Ovis aries: one gene and its partner. The protein of the gene in region 2 purifies or fractionates together with the protein of the main gene of each other region. This does not show direct contact. Links are inferred from orthologs where the notes say so. Each region holds a gene or a part of one and is shown on either strand. Other genes may lie near its edges. The genes, in order: PATL1 and LSM1.

Region 1 (8,735 bases), on a different chromosome or scaffold from region 2:
TTTTGCTGTGTATTATATATTTTTATCTTTCATTTTTAAAAAAGGGGGATCCATATAATTTATATGGCTTGTTACTTTTTTCACTCAAAAACTTATAAACACTTTTCCATGGCAATACATAATACTTTACAGATTTTACTGGCTACGTAACAGTCCAATCTACGGAGAAACCCAGATTTATTCAACCAAGCTCCCTGTCAGTCCAACTCCAGAAAAGATGTGCTAAAAAGAAGGTCCTTTTCAAAAAGAATCATCAATTCTCTTGAATGGGCAAAGACAAAGGGAGCATCCTCTTGCATTCATCAAATAAATACTGTGATTTCTGGAACATTTACCATTAGCAAGATTCTATTCCAGATACTGGGTGGGAGAGAGATGACAGAGAGACAGAGAAATTATACTAAGAAGCTTAGTCTTCACTGGAAGACTGACTGGCTTCCACAGCAAATAAGAATTGTATGGCAATCCCAGGAAAGCATGAATGTTTACACTTTCCATCTTAGTAGGAAAGAAAATACATAAAGATTACACGGTTGAACATTAGTAAGCATAAACTAGATACAATCTATAAGCTCAACAAAAGAAACTAAATGTTTCCCACTGTCTCCAGCGTCCAGCACTGTTCCTAATAGGTATTGAAGAGGTACTTGCTAAATGAATGAATTCAAGATACATAGATTTCCACCCCCTCCCCCACCCCAGGCTCAAAAGGATTCTAAAATGTTTTCTATGGAGTGAGCTTACTGAAATGGTAAGGAAGGGTAAAGGCAGGATATATAAAGCTCAAAGGAATCCAGCGAGACTAATGTTCTCACCAAAGGACACAATTCTCACCTCTCCTGTCCAGGCAATTTCCCCCTTAAGTTGTCGTACATGCAACAAATTTTGTGCTTTCTTTCATCCATCAGGGCAGGTCGCTCTTCTTCCAGACTTAGGAGGTAACGCCTTTCGTAATCCTCCACATCAAGCAGTAAACTGTAGGTCTAAGGGAGAGACAAAGCGGGCCTCAGCAAACTCAGCGTGAGGTGCACAACGTGGCCGTCCAGGACTAGCAGACAACAACGTAAGAGTGGAAGCTCACAGAAGAGTGAGAGGAAAAACCTGCTCGCTTAAACCCAGAGAAACACTGTCAAACAACTCAGGAAGAAGACACCCTTCAGGAATCGCTCCCTGCCCCTTCTTGACCACTAATCCAGCAGGCGATGGTAGTGACACGATTATCCACTTCCCAAAGTTTCCAGCAGCAGCCCTGTTAGTAACGTGAGCAATGCACGCCACCGCGTCCCGTGATGCCTCTATCTGTGAAAACGAAACAGCTAGCGACTATAGGGTGCCAGGCCCCGCTCTAAGCACCGTGCCAATACTCACTCATGGAATACTCACCACAGCCCAGTGAGAGGAGACTCTCACCACTTTCATTCTCAAAGATTAAAAAACCAAAGACGGCACAGAAAGGTTAAATGACTTGCCTCAAGTCACAGACTTGGTGAGAAATGATTTGGAGCCTGTTCTCAGAGTCTGTGCTCTTAACGCCTATACTCTATGCCCCACAACATGGTGTTTTATGGTTCAACACTAACTGCCTACTACTGATTTTCCTTAGAACCCAGGACAGTGCCCAACACCCAGGGAATGGTCAATAAACATACGGGAACTGACTGAACAGACAATCCATTCACAGGCAGAACAGTGTAATTTTTCTCTTCATTTTCTTAGAAAGATGCCCTGCCCTAAAACACTCAGCCACTAACTGAACAAGCCTGGACAAAACCCCAGGACTTCTGATTGTAACTACAGTGCTCTTTCCACGAGGCCACAGGCGAGGTAAACCACACTCCTTTCCAGCATGCCCTGTACACAACAGGCACTTTGCACAAACATGTACATCAGTTAAAATCGCAGGACACTGGCCGACTGTTTACTTCCCCACGTGTCGCGTACACACACATTTCACAGTCTGCTAAGCTGAAACCAACTACAGCACCTTTGGCAATTCTAAACTTACTTTCTCAATTATGAAAAGGGTTTTTCGTCTTTTGTCCCGAACCTGTTTTTCTTTTGTCTCCTAAAAAAAAAGAAAAGACTTTTCAATATGAACTCTTTAACCATGTTAAGAATTATTTACTGCTGGTAAATTCCATAGGTAATTCTATTTGTGACAGTACTGTGGGGATTAATAATCAGGCAGAAGTAATGGGGGCAAAGGTCACAGAGCTGACTGAAGGGCCCACACATGAACTAGTAACTAAGTTCACAGAGGAGCAAAAGGTACTGGAGAATGCAATGGAAAATGAAGATACCATAGGAAAATCTTAAGCACACAGAAAATGATAGTTTTAAAAGCTGGAACAAACAGCTAATGCTGTTTGTGGCCAGGGTTACCTGGCAGGAGCCAGTTCAAAGGCTCCTGCCACCCCAGGTTCTGCCTGGCTGCCTTAGGATCCCAACCCAGGGACCGTCAAAGAAGCAGTGCTGACCCAGACTTCCTTAAACACACAATTCTGTGGCTACTTACATCATCCTCACTCCGAGACGTCACAACAGCATCAATCATTTTTCGGGGATTATTCACACTAGAGACAGTGAGCTTTCCCAAAGAGCCCTCAAACTGCACTGCAAGGACAAAAAGTTGCCAACAAGTAAAAACCCAGCAACACAGGCAGACAGCATTCAACGAAGATCATCACAGTCTCTCTTTTCTGGCCCCACTGCATGGCCTGCTGTTGTTTAGTTGCTGAGTCGTGTCCGACTCTTTGTGGCCCCATGGACTGCAGCCCGCCAGGCTCCTCTGTCCGTGCGATTTCCCAAACAAGAATACTGAAGCAGGTTGCCACTTTTTTCTCCAGGGGATCTTCCTGACCCAGGGATTGAACCTGCGTCTCCTCTGTCCCTTGCACGGTAGGTGGGTTCTCTGCTGCTGAGCCTCCAGGGAAGCCCCGCTGTGTTCCATGCGGGGACTTTAGTTCCCCTGACCAGGGATGGAACTCAAGCCCCCTGCAGTGGAAGCACAGTCTTAACCACTAGACTGCCAGGAGGTCCTATGTTCTCTAGTCTTTACTCCAGACCTAAAAATTCACTACAAAAATCCATGTATTATCGAAGGCAATCTCTTATCAAAAGATATCCTTTTCCATTTTTTTTTTGGTTGTAATTATGAAAAGTCTGAAGTATCTTCCCCTTTATCTATTTTATGGATACTAGAAATTATAACATTTTAAAAAGTCATGGAATCTCAAGCAGGAATGGACTTAAAAGGTCATCTGTCAAACTATCCAGTTCACGCTTGAGTAAGTGGGCCTCCGCATCTGTCAGGGACAGCGGTGCCGCGCACATCAGTCTCACACGTCCCCTTCCCGTCATCCACACAGCTGCGGCTGCCGTCCCGCCAGCAGCACAGCAAGTCTCTCGGCCGTGGGCGTGGGACAGCGGCCTCACCTGGCTTGTAGGTGTGCTCCAGCCTGGCCACCTGGGGCGTGATGAGCTTGGTGCGTTCCTTTCTTGGGCCGTCACCGTGCACTTCTTCAGCAGCTGACAGCTTCTCCAGTTTTTCAAAGTAATTCTGCCATGTGAGAAGAGGATTGGCCGCTCTCTATCATGGAGCGACTTACACCAGTGGCAGCACCGCTGCTCGCGCTCTATACGTACTGGCTTTTAACTTTTATCAGATTGTGAAGAATTTACTTTATCAAAAAATCCCAGCCTTCAAAATTAGCATCAATGGAAACATCATTAGACTGCCAAAATTCTTAATTTTAAGAACCAGATTATTGATGCCAAAAGATTTGAAAATATTGGTTTGAGAGTCTCTATAGTTTAGAAAAGGCATATATGCAAACCTTTCAGTGAATATCGTGAGAGATTCTTCAGCTTGAAAAACGGGACAAAATTCTTACCTACTTGAAGACTACCTCAGAAGAAAATTATACCAATACTTAAATGAGTACCTTCACCAGGGTAAGTGACTAAGCTTACCTTTCAAACTGGCCCAGAGTGCATACCTGGTAATAAGAATCATCCAGGTAGGGGTCAGTGCTCATGCCTGGTAACAGAAGTCATCCGGGCACTGGCCCAGAGCACGCACCTGGTAGTAGAAGTCGTCCAGGTAGGGGTCAGTGCTCTGCAGCTGCATCATCTGAATCTTAGAGACCCAGTCTTTCTCTCGCTGCAGCATGAGGTTAGCATACGGGTCCTTCCGGATATGATCCTGATGACTGCTCCGGTGACTCCCTCTGTCTCCTGCACCGTTGAGAGTCCGATGCTGACTGGAAAGGAAATACAGGTCACATGCACTCCGAGTGGACACATGAATTACACCTTATAACAATACTGGAGTAAACCAGGCCAACTAAAAAAAAAAAAAAAAAAAAAAATCCCCTTTGCTTTTATTAAAAGAGGAGTGAAAAAGAATAGAATTTTAACAAAATTTGAGAGGAAGGAGCTATGGAATACCTAATCAGAGGACTAAACTAAAATCTGGGTGCCTTACCATAAGCTAAGCACCTTCTCCTATGGACTTGTGTATAAGCCCCATAATAACCCTATGAGGTCCGTAAGTTTATTTTCCCCACTTAAGACAACAAACTGAGCTCAGAAGAGATCAGGTAACTTGCCCAAAGCAGTACACCTGGCAGCAGTGAGAGGTGTGACCACAGGCTACCTTGACTCCAAGTCTACATACTTTTAAAAAACTTGTTGAAAATTATGATATACTTTAAACACATAGAAAGGTCCAGCAAACATTATTCAAAAATCCATTTACTCACCATTTGGACTAAATGAAAAAATTATTTGGTCAAACTTGTTTCAGATTTTTAAAAAGTAAAATATTAACCTAACACAGTGCTACGTTTACAGTTGAGGGGCCACCTACAGCCCTCAAGATCAGTTTCCAGCTCCCCTTCCTTCCTATAGGAACTACTATCCTGACTTTGATACATATCCTTCAAGAAATATTTTTATACTTTTACTACTTGTACACCTACCTTTTATTACTTATATTACTTGTACATCTACCTTTAAATATCATACAGTAGTATTCCATTTTACATAAATGGTATTAGGCATAAAATTCTGCTCCTTGATTCTTATTCAATATTATGTGTTTCATACTTGTCCACATTGATAATATACCCCCCAGGTATATTCTGAAAAGTAAAACTGCTAGGATTCAATGTATCTACATTATAAATCTTATTGTTTATTGCCAAATTCTCTCTCCAAAGCCTATATATATTCCATTCCTGCTAACAACGACAGTGTTGAGACACTTCATGTTTTGCTGTCTGAGGATATAAAACGGTTATCTAATTTCAATCTGCACTTTTCTCATTACAAGTGAGCCTGAAAATCTTTGTGTTTTTATGAGCCATGTAGGTTTCCTCTATTGAAAGACTGCATGCTTGTGTCTGATGCCTTTTATTACACAGAAGTTTAATATATTTTTACAATTTCATAAAAAATATTTGTAAACAACTTTACAAATAACTGCTGCTAACTGCTGTACAAAGAAATGTACAATTTAATGTATACAAATTGGTAAGTCTGGACAAATGCAAACACTTGTCATGCCAGCAGCATAAAAAAGGCACTAGACATATACACCCACTCCTTGGGTCCCTTTGTTCTTCTTCCCTTTTGGGGGGCTTGGGGGCGGGTAAGATACTTAACATGAGATCTACCTTTTCAAATTCTGAAATGCACAATACCATAATGTCAACTGCAGGCCTGTTTGTATTTTAACAGTCAATATATTATTAATCTTTTCCTTTACGGTTTGTATTTTTTGTATCTTAAAGGCCCATACTAGTTTTTTACCTCTGCAAAGAATATTCCAGAATTTTTTTTTTTGAAAGAAAAAGGAAATTAGACACAAAGAACCATAAAAGGGAAGGCTGCAAAAACTTCAAAGTTATGTTTAATTCTCTTATTTTATGTATAAGAATGATGACAAAATATAAGCTCCATGAAAGCAAGGGCATGTTATGTCTTGTTCTTTCAATCTCCCAAACTGACCACAGTAGCTGGTACACAGCTGGGGCCACATATATAAATATATATTTGAATGAAGATTAAACAGAGGCAAAAACGAAGTGACTGTCGGCTTTACATAAGACCCAAATGTAATGCTAGAGACTATACTTCAAGATCACCTCCGAGCCGAGACGGTAAACAAAACGCAGCCAGAAGTATGGGAAGAACTTGGTAAGGAGTGAGTGGAAGATGCTGGCCACCCCCACCCCAGATCGAGACTGCATTTCAGAATCATATTAACTTGGAAATAAGTTGATAAGCCCTAGTCATTCAAAGCTTGTGCATTACATAAACTAGCACGTATGACCTGACTTAGCCAGCTGAAATAAGCTCAATATTGATTAAATTTACTTAAAAAGTAAGCTAAATCAGGCAAAAATGAAACCTAGATTAAGAAACCACAAAAGAGGTTAAGTACGTACTTTCTATTCTGTTGCTGCCTCTGATGCAAGAGTCGACGGTGCTGTGGATGAAGATGGGTTGTGTCTGGTCTAAACACTGGGGTCTGCGATCTAAGAAAAAGGGAAAGATGTTCAGTTCTGTCCTTTTGATGACCTGAAGCTTTAAAGAATGTGATCAATACCGGATAACTTCACACAGGTTCACCCAAGAGAATGCTGGTGTCTACTCTAAGAAGATCTTTCAGAAGGAAGACACAGCTGTATTTTCATGTCTTCCATGAAAGACAATTCTCAACTCCTAAAAAGACAATCATAAAATCTGAGTGAATCAGCAGTAAGCTAGTTTAATTCTCTTTGCTCCTAGCTGTTAAGGAGAAGTCTCTAACTAAATTTAATGTACTCAAATTCAGATTTGGAAATGATCCTGAAAATATACATGTGACGGTTAATTTAATATGCTGATTGCCTAAGACACCCAGTTGTTTGGACACTCATCTAGATATTGCTGTGATGGTGTTTTATAGATGCTATTAACATTTACAATTAACTTTAAGAAATAGAAAGATGGCCCTAGATAATGTGGGTGGGACTTGCCTATCAGTTGAAGGCCCTAAAAGGAAAACCAGTTTCCCAGAGAAGGAATTTTGCCTCAAGACTGGAATATGGGAAGGCCTGATTGCGTCTCCAGCCTGCTCACCTGCCCTACAAATTCAGACCTCAGGTTGCAACCACAACTTCCAACAGAATGTCCAGCTTGCTGGCCTGCCCTACAGATTCTGGACTTCCTAGCCCCACATTCATGTAAGCCAATGCCTTAAAGTAAATCTCTTCTTTATTTATCTATATGCTATTGGTTCTGCTTCTCAGGAGAACCCTGAGACAATGTGATATATAATAAAACACAATTTCACTGAAGCAGGAACTTAAACCTCTATGGTAAAGTCCCAGTGGAAGCAAGCAAGTAGCTAAACACTGAGATTAGCTGACAACTCAGCATCTCTATCTCTGTTCCTCTTTTTCTTTGGTTGCACGATGTAGCTTGCTGGGTCTCAGCTCCCCTGACTGAACCTGAGCCATGGCAGTGAAAGCACTGAGTCCTAACCACGGGGCCGTCAGGGACTGCCCTCACTGTTCCTCAGTGTAAGATAATTCTTGTTAGATGAGAAGCACTTGGCGCATGTATGTGTGTGTGTCAAATGGATATGTGAGACATAAGAAACTTTAGAAGAAATAAAAAGGTGACTGCTGCTGCTAAGTCGCTTCAGTCGTGTCCGACTCTGTGCGACCCCATAGATGGCAGCCCACCAGGCTCCCCGTCCCTGGGATTCTCCAGGCAAGAACACTGGAGTGGGTTGCCATTTCCTTCTCCAATGCATGAAAGTGAGAAGTGAAAGTGAGGTCGCTCAGTCGTGCCCGACTCTTCGAGCCTTCCAGGCTCCTCCGTCCATGGGATTTTCCAGGAAGAGTACTGGAGTGGGGTGCCATTGCCTTCTCCAGAAAAAGGTTATTAATGTGCAAATCTAAGTAGGAAGCATCCTGTTGTTTAGTTGCTAAGTTGCGCCCTACTCTTTGTGACCCCAAGGACTATAGCCCATCAGGCTCCTCTGTCCATGGGATTTCCCAGGCAAGAATCCTAGAAGGGGTCGCCTTCTCCAGGGGACCTTCCCAACCCAGGGATGGAACCCAAGGCTCAGCACTGGCAGGCAGCTCTTTATCACTGAGCCAGCCACCTGGGAGGCCCAGGAAGCACATGACTGGAGGGAAATGGGATTCACATCAAACGTTGGAGACCATCCAACATTTCTGTGTTTGCCAACTTGAGGATCAAATAACATCACAAAATACATCATTTGAAAACAGCAAGGAGACTGCTACCTTCTATCACTAAATGTCAACAATCAAGTGACTCAGTGGACAAGGGACAGACAGTCACACTTTCTCTGTATACCTTAGATTCTGCAGGTGGGGTCCTGGGCCAGGGGGGTGCTGCTGTGGAGGTGGTGGTGTAGCAGGGGGTGGGGCACTGAAGAAGGCGCGGAAGCCTGGCGCAGGGGGGAGCATCTGCCCAACTCGCCCTTGCAACAGCTTGGGATTCATGGCGGCAAGTGGGCTGCCCACGAATCCAGGGACCCGTGCAAACTGGCTGGGAGACATCCGTCCAGGCTGTAGCTGCAAAAACAAGATCTTGGATTTAGCTGATTGGCAGGTCCCCTTACATTCATCCACAGAACAGTGAATACTGTTTCCATCAATAACTTTGCTTGAGAAAGTAATGGCAGGAAGAAAGAAGAGGCAGTAGGAATT
Region 2 (8,735 bases):
ACTCATTGGAAAAGACTCTGATGCTGGGAGGGATTGGGGGCAGGAGGAGAAGGGGACGACCCAGGATGAGATGGCTGGATGGCATCACCGACTTGATGGATGTGAGTCTGAGTGAACTCCGGGAGATGGTGATGGACAGGGAGGCCTGGCGTGCTGCGATTCATGGGGTCGCAAGGAGTCGGACACGACTGAGTGACTGAACTGAACTGAACTGAAAGGGGTAATATGGGCTTCCCTTGTGGCTCAGCTGGATAAGAATCCACCTGCAATGTGGGAGACCTGGGTTGTATTCCTGGGTTGGGAAGATCCCCTGGAGAAGGGAAAGGCTACCCGCTCCAGTATTCTGGCCCGAAGAATTCCACTGACTGTATAGTCCATGTGGTCACAGAGTCAGACACGACTGAGCAACTTTCACTTCATAAAAGGGTAATATACGACGCTGGGGTGCAGCCCTGCTGGCGGGAGGGAAACAGACAGAAGAAAGACATCTGTTGCTTCCAGCAACCCTGACAAGTCCTCCCCTGCCCCGGTCCCATTTCCCTGGGATGCTCTTCCAGGCATTTTCACACCAATCATCTCCCAACTGTTCACTCCTGGAGGGCCGTAGTCTCCAGTGGGGGCAGTAAGAAATCATCTCCATATTCAGTGTATTCACTCCTGGTAGTTCTCTGACTGGTCTCTAAAGTAATCTTAGTAACCAGCCTGAATCCACCGCATGCCCTATCCATCCATCATTTATCCATCCTTCCTTCACCTCCACAGAGATGTACTGAGACTTGATATGTGCCTGACATCGTTCTCCATGTGCAATCACAGGAGTGAATATGACAAAAATCCTGCCTTGAGGACTTACACTCTTGTCAGGGGAGTGAAATTAATGTTCGACTGCAATAACTGCTCTGGTGAAAGACAAAGCTGCAAAGGATATAGTTGGGGATGGTGTTGCTATTTAAAATGGGTCTTCTGCGAAGGATTTTCTTGTAGCTGTCTGAGGCAAGTATGTTGTAAACAAGAGAACAGGAAATTCTGGCCCCATCAAGGGCTTGCTCCACCTGCTCTACTGTCTGTCTCTCAGCCTGACCTGTCCCTTGTACTCCTGTGAGCAAAACTGAGGCCACTCTCCAGCCATCACATCTGGGTACCTCTGCAGTTTACGCTGACGTGGCGTCCATGCCAGATGGTTTGAGAGTATCTGGTTCTGCTGAGTACCCAGGGCCTTCTGGGACTTTAGCCGAGTAGGGGAGAACAGATATTGTGGTTTAAATTTAGCTGACAGAATGCAATGAAAGGTCAAGCGCCAAGGAAGGGGGAAAAGAACAGCTAGGAGGGTGAGAGAGAGGCTGCTGCACCCAGTTACATCAGAATGAAGATGGATAATTTCAGGTAATTTCGGTATCTGCAAAAAGCCTGGACTGGCAGAGCTGAGGGGGATCCCTGCACTGAGGGGCAGGGAGATGAAAGGGAGGGAGCAGGGAGCCTCGTCTTGTTCCATCCTTCAGCTCTAGCCCATGCGACAATGGTCTAAAGGGCAGTACCTTACCGTATGTGATGACTGAAACCCAGCCATGGCTTGAAAATTCCTGACCTACTATGGGAATTGTCTTCTCCTGAACAGAAGAATAAATCCTAAGTCTTATGATTGCATGTGGAATTGTCTGAGTGAGGTCAAGAAGACAAAAGATTACAGTGAACTTGAATCTCTTGAAGGTGTTGGATATTCTGAAATGGTGGTGCTCAAAACCAACACATTCTGCTCTCAAAATCTTCTTGCAGTGAAAGTTAACCACATCTTAAACAGTTGGTGATGGGCTTTTCCCCTTCATGTGGGAATAAGAAATTAAGGCCATTCAGCGGTAAGGTTAGAGGTGAAACACACAAGATAAATCAAAGTGCAACTTTTCCCATATTACCTCCTTTGAAACCAAGCCAGTGATGAATAGCTGAGGTCAAATGGTTTATCTGCAAACCCCTGAGCTCATAAAATGTGAAGTATATTGAATACTATAAAGTAACTCAAAGAAAAGAATTGGATTTAAGTATCTTCTCTGCAAATGATGTCTCTGCTCAAGACTATAAGTATCTGGAATAATTTTACAGTTAAAACAGAGTCAAGGAGGAAGACTGACTTGCTTGAACCCAAGTGCCAAAGAGAAGAGTCTGGATTTTAACCCGTTTGTCTCCCAGTTCCAAGTTCACACTGTCCAATACCCAACACTGAACTCCTGGAAAGTACAGCCTCTTACGTGGCGGCCAAGACATGTGGGTGGAGAAGAACCTAGATCAATCAGTCAGTCACTGAAACACCGTTTTATCTGTGCTTATTTTTGATGACACCATAAGATGCTCAAGACTCAAGCCAAATGACCAGAAAAACCTCATGAGATTAACAGAGCATTTAGGGAAGTTGTCATGTGGGTCTCACGGGAACACAGCTGGTGATGCAGTTGCTACCACTCCTGCTTCTCAAACGCCAGCTTCTGTTGTAACCAAGAACTGTGACACCTCACTGAAAGAGCCCTCCTCAAGCCTGAACATTTTTTGTTGTTAGGGGAAAAAAATAAAAGACGAGGGGACAAGGGAGGACCTGCAGGGTATTTAGTATGAGAATACTCCTTTGTAAGTGACTTCCCTCATGGTCCAGTGGCTAAGACTCCACTCACACTGCAGGGGCCCCAGTTCCATCCTTGGTCAGGCAACTAGATCCCGTGTGCCACAGCTAAGAGTTCACAGGCCTTGGCTACAGGTCCCACGTGCAGCAACGAAGACCTGGCACAGCCAAATAAATGAACTAAAACAAGAGTAGGCTGGAATTGTGACAGAAGGGAAATTCCACGTGTGTGTGGACTGCTTATACCTCTTGGAGGAGAAATTAAATGATGTCCAGTCACTGAAGGCAACTCAAACTTGAGAAATAACACTGCAATTTTGAGATTCGAGTTTTATTTACAAGTAAACGAAGACTGTCCCCTGTAGCCACTCATTTGGGGTGAGAAGAGCAATGTAAAGAAGTAGCTGCTGGCTCCACAGTGATAAGTGAGAGGAGTCCATGCCACTGTTTCTTTAAATGATGATTTTGTAATTAAAATGAAAAAAAAAAAAAAAAAAACACACACACACACACAGAACACAACACATGATTTCTTCATGTTGCATCTGTGAAAGAATTCAAAACAAAAATGACTTTTCAAAACTCTTATAGAGTCTCATCACACGTGTGAGGTGACCAGGCCGTCACTTCGCTTAGTGACAGCCCTGCTCCTCAGGAGCGACAGTCTCTGAGCAGAAGACTTAATACTCATCGAGAGTATCTGCCCGAGGGATGGACAGGCCTCGGTCCTTCAGGGCCTGGACTTTCAGCTTCTCGGCTTCCAGCTTGGTCTGCTGTTCCACCCTCTGTTCTTCTAAGATTTCCTCAATAGACACTTGCTGGAGAGGTGTGTCACTCTCCTTTTCTAAGTCCTACAAAACAAGTAGGTTTGGGAAACTTTACCTCATGACCAAGAATAGAAAACATCACAGATACAAAGGCAAACGGATTCCTATATCAGGCTTGAATTATTTTACGAACTTGTGCCAGGGCACAAACACCCTATGGACAGATAACACTTTACAAAGAAATGGCTGGCAATGCTCCTATAGAACACTCAGATGTGGTTTAACAAGAATCAGTATCAGTGTGCATAACAAAGCTTTAGTCTGTGCAAAGTAAAGTCCTACATAAGTTAAGAACTACTTTTCTTACAGCTATTTCCCCAACCCCAGGGAATCCAAGAGAGAAGTCACCAAGGTCAAGGTAGCTTAAAATAAATTTTGTATTTATACACAGTCAAAGTCAGCCTAATTTCTGGGGCTTTTTTTTTGCTAAAAAGTAGAAAACATTGATTCAAAGTAGCACCCCTGACCCCCAGCCCCCAAGCCCCCAAGCCAAAGGCAATCAACTGGCCCTCTGTTAACACAGGACTTCTTTCTCCCCCATGGCAACTAGTCTTCTGGAGAAAACCTCAGCAAACCAGTTGGGTTAGTAAACCATTTTGGCCCCAACATTCATTCTTCGCAAATATTGGCTACATTTCCCATTTAATATGGTAAAATATGCTAATATTTTATTTTTGAACAGCTTAAACATCTGATAACCAACTTGATAATGCAGTACTTTGCTATAAAATTATCTATTTACTGACTGTTTCTTCTCCTTAAGAAGTTTATCTAGGTATCACTTGGTGTTTCTGTAACATGGAAAGCCTCTACGGACAGGGTACTCACATTTCTCATCCTCCTCTGACTTTTACTTACAAAATCTGGGAAGGCATCAACGCAAATGCCACCTCTCCAGACGTTCCAGCCTACCGCTAGATGCTCATCTACAGAGGCGGCCAAGGCCTTGGAAGCCACAGCGGTGACACCGCAGATGGAGGACTCTCCCAGAGCGAAAGCCACATAAATTCCATAAGCAAGGCCTGCCCTCAAAAGTTAGCTGCATCCAGCAAAATATATATTATCAAGTGTGATCTTCCCTCACAGCCCATGGGCAGCAGAAGGGAAGACAATGTTCTTGGCTCAGTGTCCTACCTCCTGGACTTTCCAATGTTATGCGCTGAGCTATTCGTGTGGTTATGGCAATGCTGTTTCCCAACAATCAGCTTATTACTTAAGGCCCCGTATCTCATTATCCTTGAGGTAGAAGCCAGGGACTTCACAAACAACTGCGCGTCTACAGAATGCAAGTGGCTTCTAGTTTTGCGTTTTCCTAGAATTGGTACACAACATCTTCAAACAGACCATAGATTCATAGAACTGTGGAAGCAGTCCCGAACCGTATTTCTTTAGTAATACCACTATAAAAAATTCTGCAGAATCTGAACTGTTAACATACAAAAAAAGAGTACTCTTCTCCACGAAAGGGCTCCCAGGAAACAATGACACATCAAGAATAAACACAAATTCTTGTCTTCCCATACATCTACATAGCGCCGTGTCGGTGCCAATGTAACTGGCACAGAAAGCGTATCTGTGCTGTTTTCTTCTCTTCAATTGAAGCAGTGTGTGTGGTCTTGTGACTTAAACCTTTCCCCTGATAGCAAAGTAATACATTTCCTCTCTAAAAGTTAAATTCAGAAAAGTAAAAAAGGGGGAAAAAATAATCACCCACCATCCTACCATCCAGAGATTGGCCAGTCCCTCTGAATATACAGTCAGACGACCATCCCAACCCCCACATCCCAGGATACCATGGTGCTTTACATCAACCACAAAAATACTTTTAAAACTTCAAAATTACTTCATATATTTCATAGCAATTCTTGGACAGCATTGATTAGTTTTTTCTATCTACTTCCAACATGAACAAACACGACCCTGGCAGAATTACCTCCTTACTTTCGCGAATGGTGTATAGTTAAAAACTGCTACGAAAACAAAACAACAACAACAACAACAACAACAAATAAAAGCAGCTACAGACTGAGCCAGTTCTCTCCAGAGTTCTGTAAACCTGACTCAGCAAGTGGCTAGGGATTGTGAAATGCTACTGAAAACTTTAAAGATAAAATCAAGGTTTGATTTTCCTGGAAAACGCAATAATCAGAAGCACCAGGATCAAGTCAAAGATATTAAATAAAGCATTTTTAAAGTAAATGTTTCATGTAAACTGTGAAATCAAGTTTTATCTTCTTTAAAAATGTCGGAGTAGTTCTAATATATATTTTGGAGTAGTTTTCTAATGGTTCACACACATACACACTCACACCTACAGAAACACCACTTGAGAGGATTTAACTTTTCACTTGCCAGCTGGCTTTCCTGACAGATAACAGGAACCTCCTCCTTGACTGGGAGCTAAGAAGCCAAGTGAGGTTGAGTCCATTCTCAGAAAATGAAGAAAGGCTTCTGCTGCAGTCACTCTTTCCCCCTGCCCCCTTTAAAAACACAGATATCACACTGTACATGCCATGTGCCTTTCCCCCAAACCCAACTACCTTTATGCCATGAAAGACCATTGTAACCAACTGTTTAAATGACTACAAAATATTCCAGTGTTAGTAAGCCATATTTCATTGGACTATTCTTCTCTCGTTGGGTATCAGGCTTCAATTTTCTATTAAAGATACAAGAGTAATCTGCTAATGAACACATTTGTGTGGGACAGTGTTTTATATATATAATGGCTGCACCACTCAGCTCCTGGGATCTTGGTTCCAGGGGCTGAACCCGGGCCTCTGCGGTAAGAGTGTGGAGTCCTAACCATTGGACTGCCAAAAAACTCCCTTGTAGGACAGTATTTTTTATGATATCAGGTAAAAATCAATGATATTTTACTGCTAATGGGATCAAAATCTTTAATATGCCAGAAGGCGCTGAAACAAAGCTGACTGTGCTCTGCAGCTCTCCTTTTACAATATCCCCTTCTTAAGCTAATTTGGTGGTTTCCTGTGAGAAGCTGGAAAACATTTTTCCCTTCTTGAAAAGACAAAAAGAAACCTAACTGGATGATTATCAAGAGCCGTAGGAGCTTAACAGTTTTCACTTACTATTTCTCCTAGCAGGACCACATTTTCTCCTCTGACCACAAAAATCCCTCGAGGAATATCACCGTATTTTTTGCCCACATGAATACGCTCCACAGTCTGATGTAGCACTAAGTTAGCTATAAGTGTACAGGGAAGAAACAAAGACATTTAGTTCAAATTACTTTACAGGTAAAGGTCCATAACTCAATCAGTTATCTTGAGTAGAAACGATTAGCTGAACGTGATTTTCAAACTTTCTAATTCTGGAAAATGCTAAAATTTCAAACAATCTCATCCTATTTCATTCAGACACACCACTTGGAGATTTTTAAACAACTGCAAATAGAGTACTTGGGATTATGTTGCATTAATACAAGGATGGTGGAAATAAATGAAGAAAATTAAATTCCTTATGAGTTAACTGCTGATATCAACATGACTATAATAATATGATACGGCACTTGGAAAACTCTAAAGTCCAAACAACTGCAGAAATTATCTTTTTTTCTCTTTTAGAAGGAAACATTTTTCCTACTTTGTGTAGGTATGTGTGTGTGATGATTTATCAAAGATTTACCTTTGTTTCAGTACAGATGATTCATTTAATCCAATGTAGGTATTCATGGATTATGATACAACAGTAATCTGTTTTTTTCTCCTTTGTCAGATGACTATAATTTGGTAATCTGAGAGTAACATTAGTATTCACTACTTTCCCCTCACGTAGTTTGATGAATTTGACTTAAGGTTCAGAATCACAATCTGTGCAGAATTATTACTTTTCTTCTTTCAGTCGGTACTGCTGTCGTCTTTGAAGAAACACAGTACTATCATCTGTGATTCTTACTAAGTATTTCAATTATGTTGTTCTTCCTTAGGCCCAAAGCCACTGACCTAGCTGATGTCCAGCAAATGTTGACATGAACTGGAAGTTCCTCAAGACAGGAGCAAATGTAAGGTCTCTTTAGAAAAACGTAAGAGACAGAATCAAGATTAAGACCTTGAGTCTGATGTATCCTAAAGTATAAAATCCTGAGCTTAATGTTGGGGGTCCCTAAAAAGCTTCAGGAAAGGCCTCTGACCCACTTTTCATTGGACAGGGAGGGATTACCTTCAGGGCAGGAACTGCTTTGAAGAGTAGTCGCACCCAAGCCAATGTACAAATGAGCAGCCTTTTCAGTGGACTGAGTGTATTTCTATCATCTGGCTCCCTCTAATGGGGAAAATAAAAAACAGTCCAAAACATTGTAACGACATGTTCTAATAGTGAAAACCAGTTTTAGAAATAAAATATAAGCTTGTAAACACAAGCTTTCAAACCACCTAATTGTAATTTAGAAAACAATGATGTAGTGACTTAAAACAGTATTTCATCATGCCAGGTACGTGAAAAAAGTTGCAGATAAATAAACTTCAATACGAAACAACATAAAAATACAGTGGGCAGCTCTTATCATCCAGAGTGTGGGATGATAAAAGCCACCATGGCTCTTATCACCACGGACTCATGATAAGTCCATGAGTAATACATACCAAATTGATCAATGCTTCTCAAAAATCCTATGAGTGTCCTTCCATCTCGAAGCAGGACCAAGTGCTTTTCTGGGGAGAGGAAAAGAGATCTTTAAAAAATGAACCGTTAGCTTCAGCGAGTTTACAGGGAAACAAAAACAGAGTTAATAGCAGATTAAGCTTTAGCATTTCCTCTTATAGAGCATTTAATGCATTTAACGCAGTTCATTGAGAAACTAGAGGGATGGCCAAGGCAGCTGGGGATTAGTTTAGATGAGAAGATGGGTGGTGAAAAGAATCTAAGAGGGGCAGCAGAGCGGGGAGGGACTGGGCACACAGTCAGGGGGCCCAACGGACTGGCTCCAGACGCCAGTGCTCGACAGTTAAACCCTGTCAGCATCATGTCAGTTTCTATACCTGCCAATCTGGACATTTGCTCTAGATGGTCTTTATGATCTTCATTTTCCAAAATTATTTTCTCCTCAACTTAGAGTTTCTATTTCACACTTTGGAATCAGAGATGGTTTTAAATAAAAACAGTACCAAAGACATGTAAAATGAGGATGCTGAGAATAAAACCAGAGCAAAAATTCAACAGAATGCATTGAGGGCTATGTGCTGTTCTGGGGCCTAGATATATAGTAGAGAATAAGACTCAGAGTCACCAACCTCATGAACTTATAAGCCTGGTGGAGAAAAGCAAACATATTTTAAAAA

The links.
Region 1: the proteins of LSM1 (region 2) and PATL1 purify together in Homo sapiens (co-immunoprecipitation; 3 studies listed by BioGRID and IntAct, with this or other methods). This does not show direct contact. The link is inferred for Ovis aries from reciprocal best matches to the Homo sapiens genes LSM1 and PATL1.

Annotation. Positions count from the first base shown.
Region 1 is NC_056068.1:81,414,666-81,423,400, forward strand, and holds part of PATL1 (protein PAT1 homolog 1), read right to left. Parts: intron 8,601-8,735; coding exon 8,380-8,600; intron 6,543-8,379; coding exon 6,453-6,542; intron 4,263-6,452; coding exon 4,082-4,262; intron 3,560-4,081; coding exon 3,436-3,559; intron 2,614-3,435; coding exon 2,516-2,613; intron 2,066-2,515; coding exon 2,006-2,065; intron 984-2,005; coding exon 835-983; intron 1-834. UniProt on the Homo sapiens protein: RNA-binding protein involved in deadenylation-dependent decapping of mRNAs, leading to the degradation of mRNAs. Acts as a scaffold protein that connects deadenylation and decapping machinery.
Region 2 is NC_056079.1:32,432,258-32,440,992, forward strand, and holds the end of LSM1 (U6 snRNA-associated Sm-like protein LSm1), read right to left. Parts: intron 8,109-8,735; coding exon 8,040-8,108; intron 6,644-8,039; coding exon 6,528-6,643; intron 3,460-6,527; coding exon 3,289-3,459; 3' UTR 2,924-3,288; downstream 1-2,923. UniProt on the Homo sapiens protein: Plays a role in the degradation of histone mRNAs, the only eukaryotic mRNAs that are not polyadenylated. Probably also part of an LSm subunits-containing complex involved in the general process of mRNA degradation.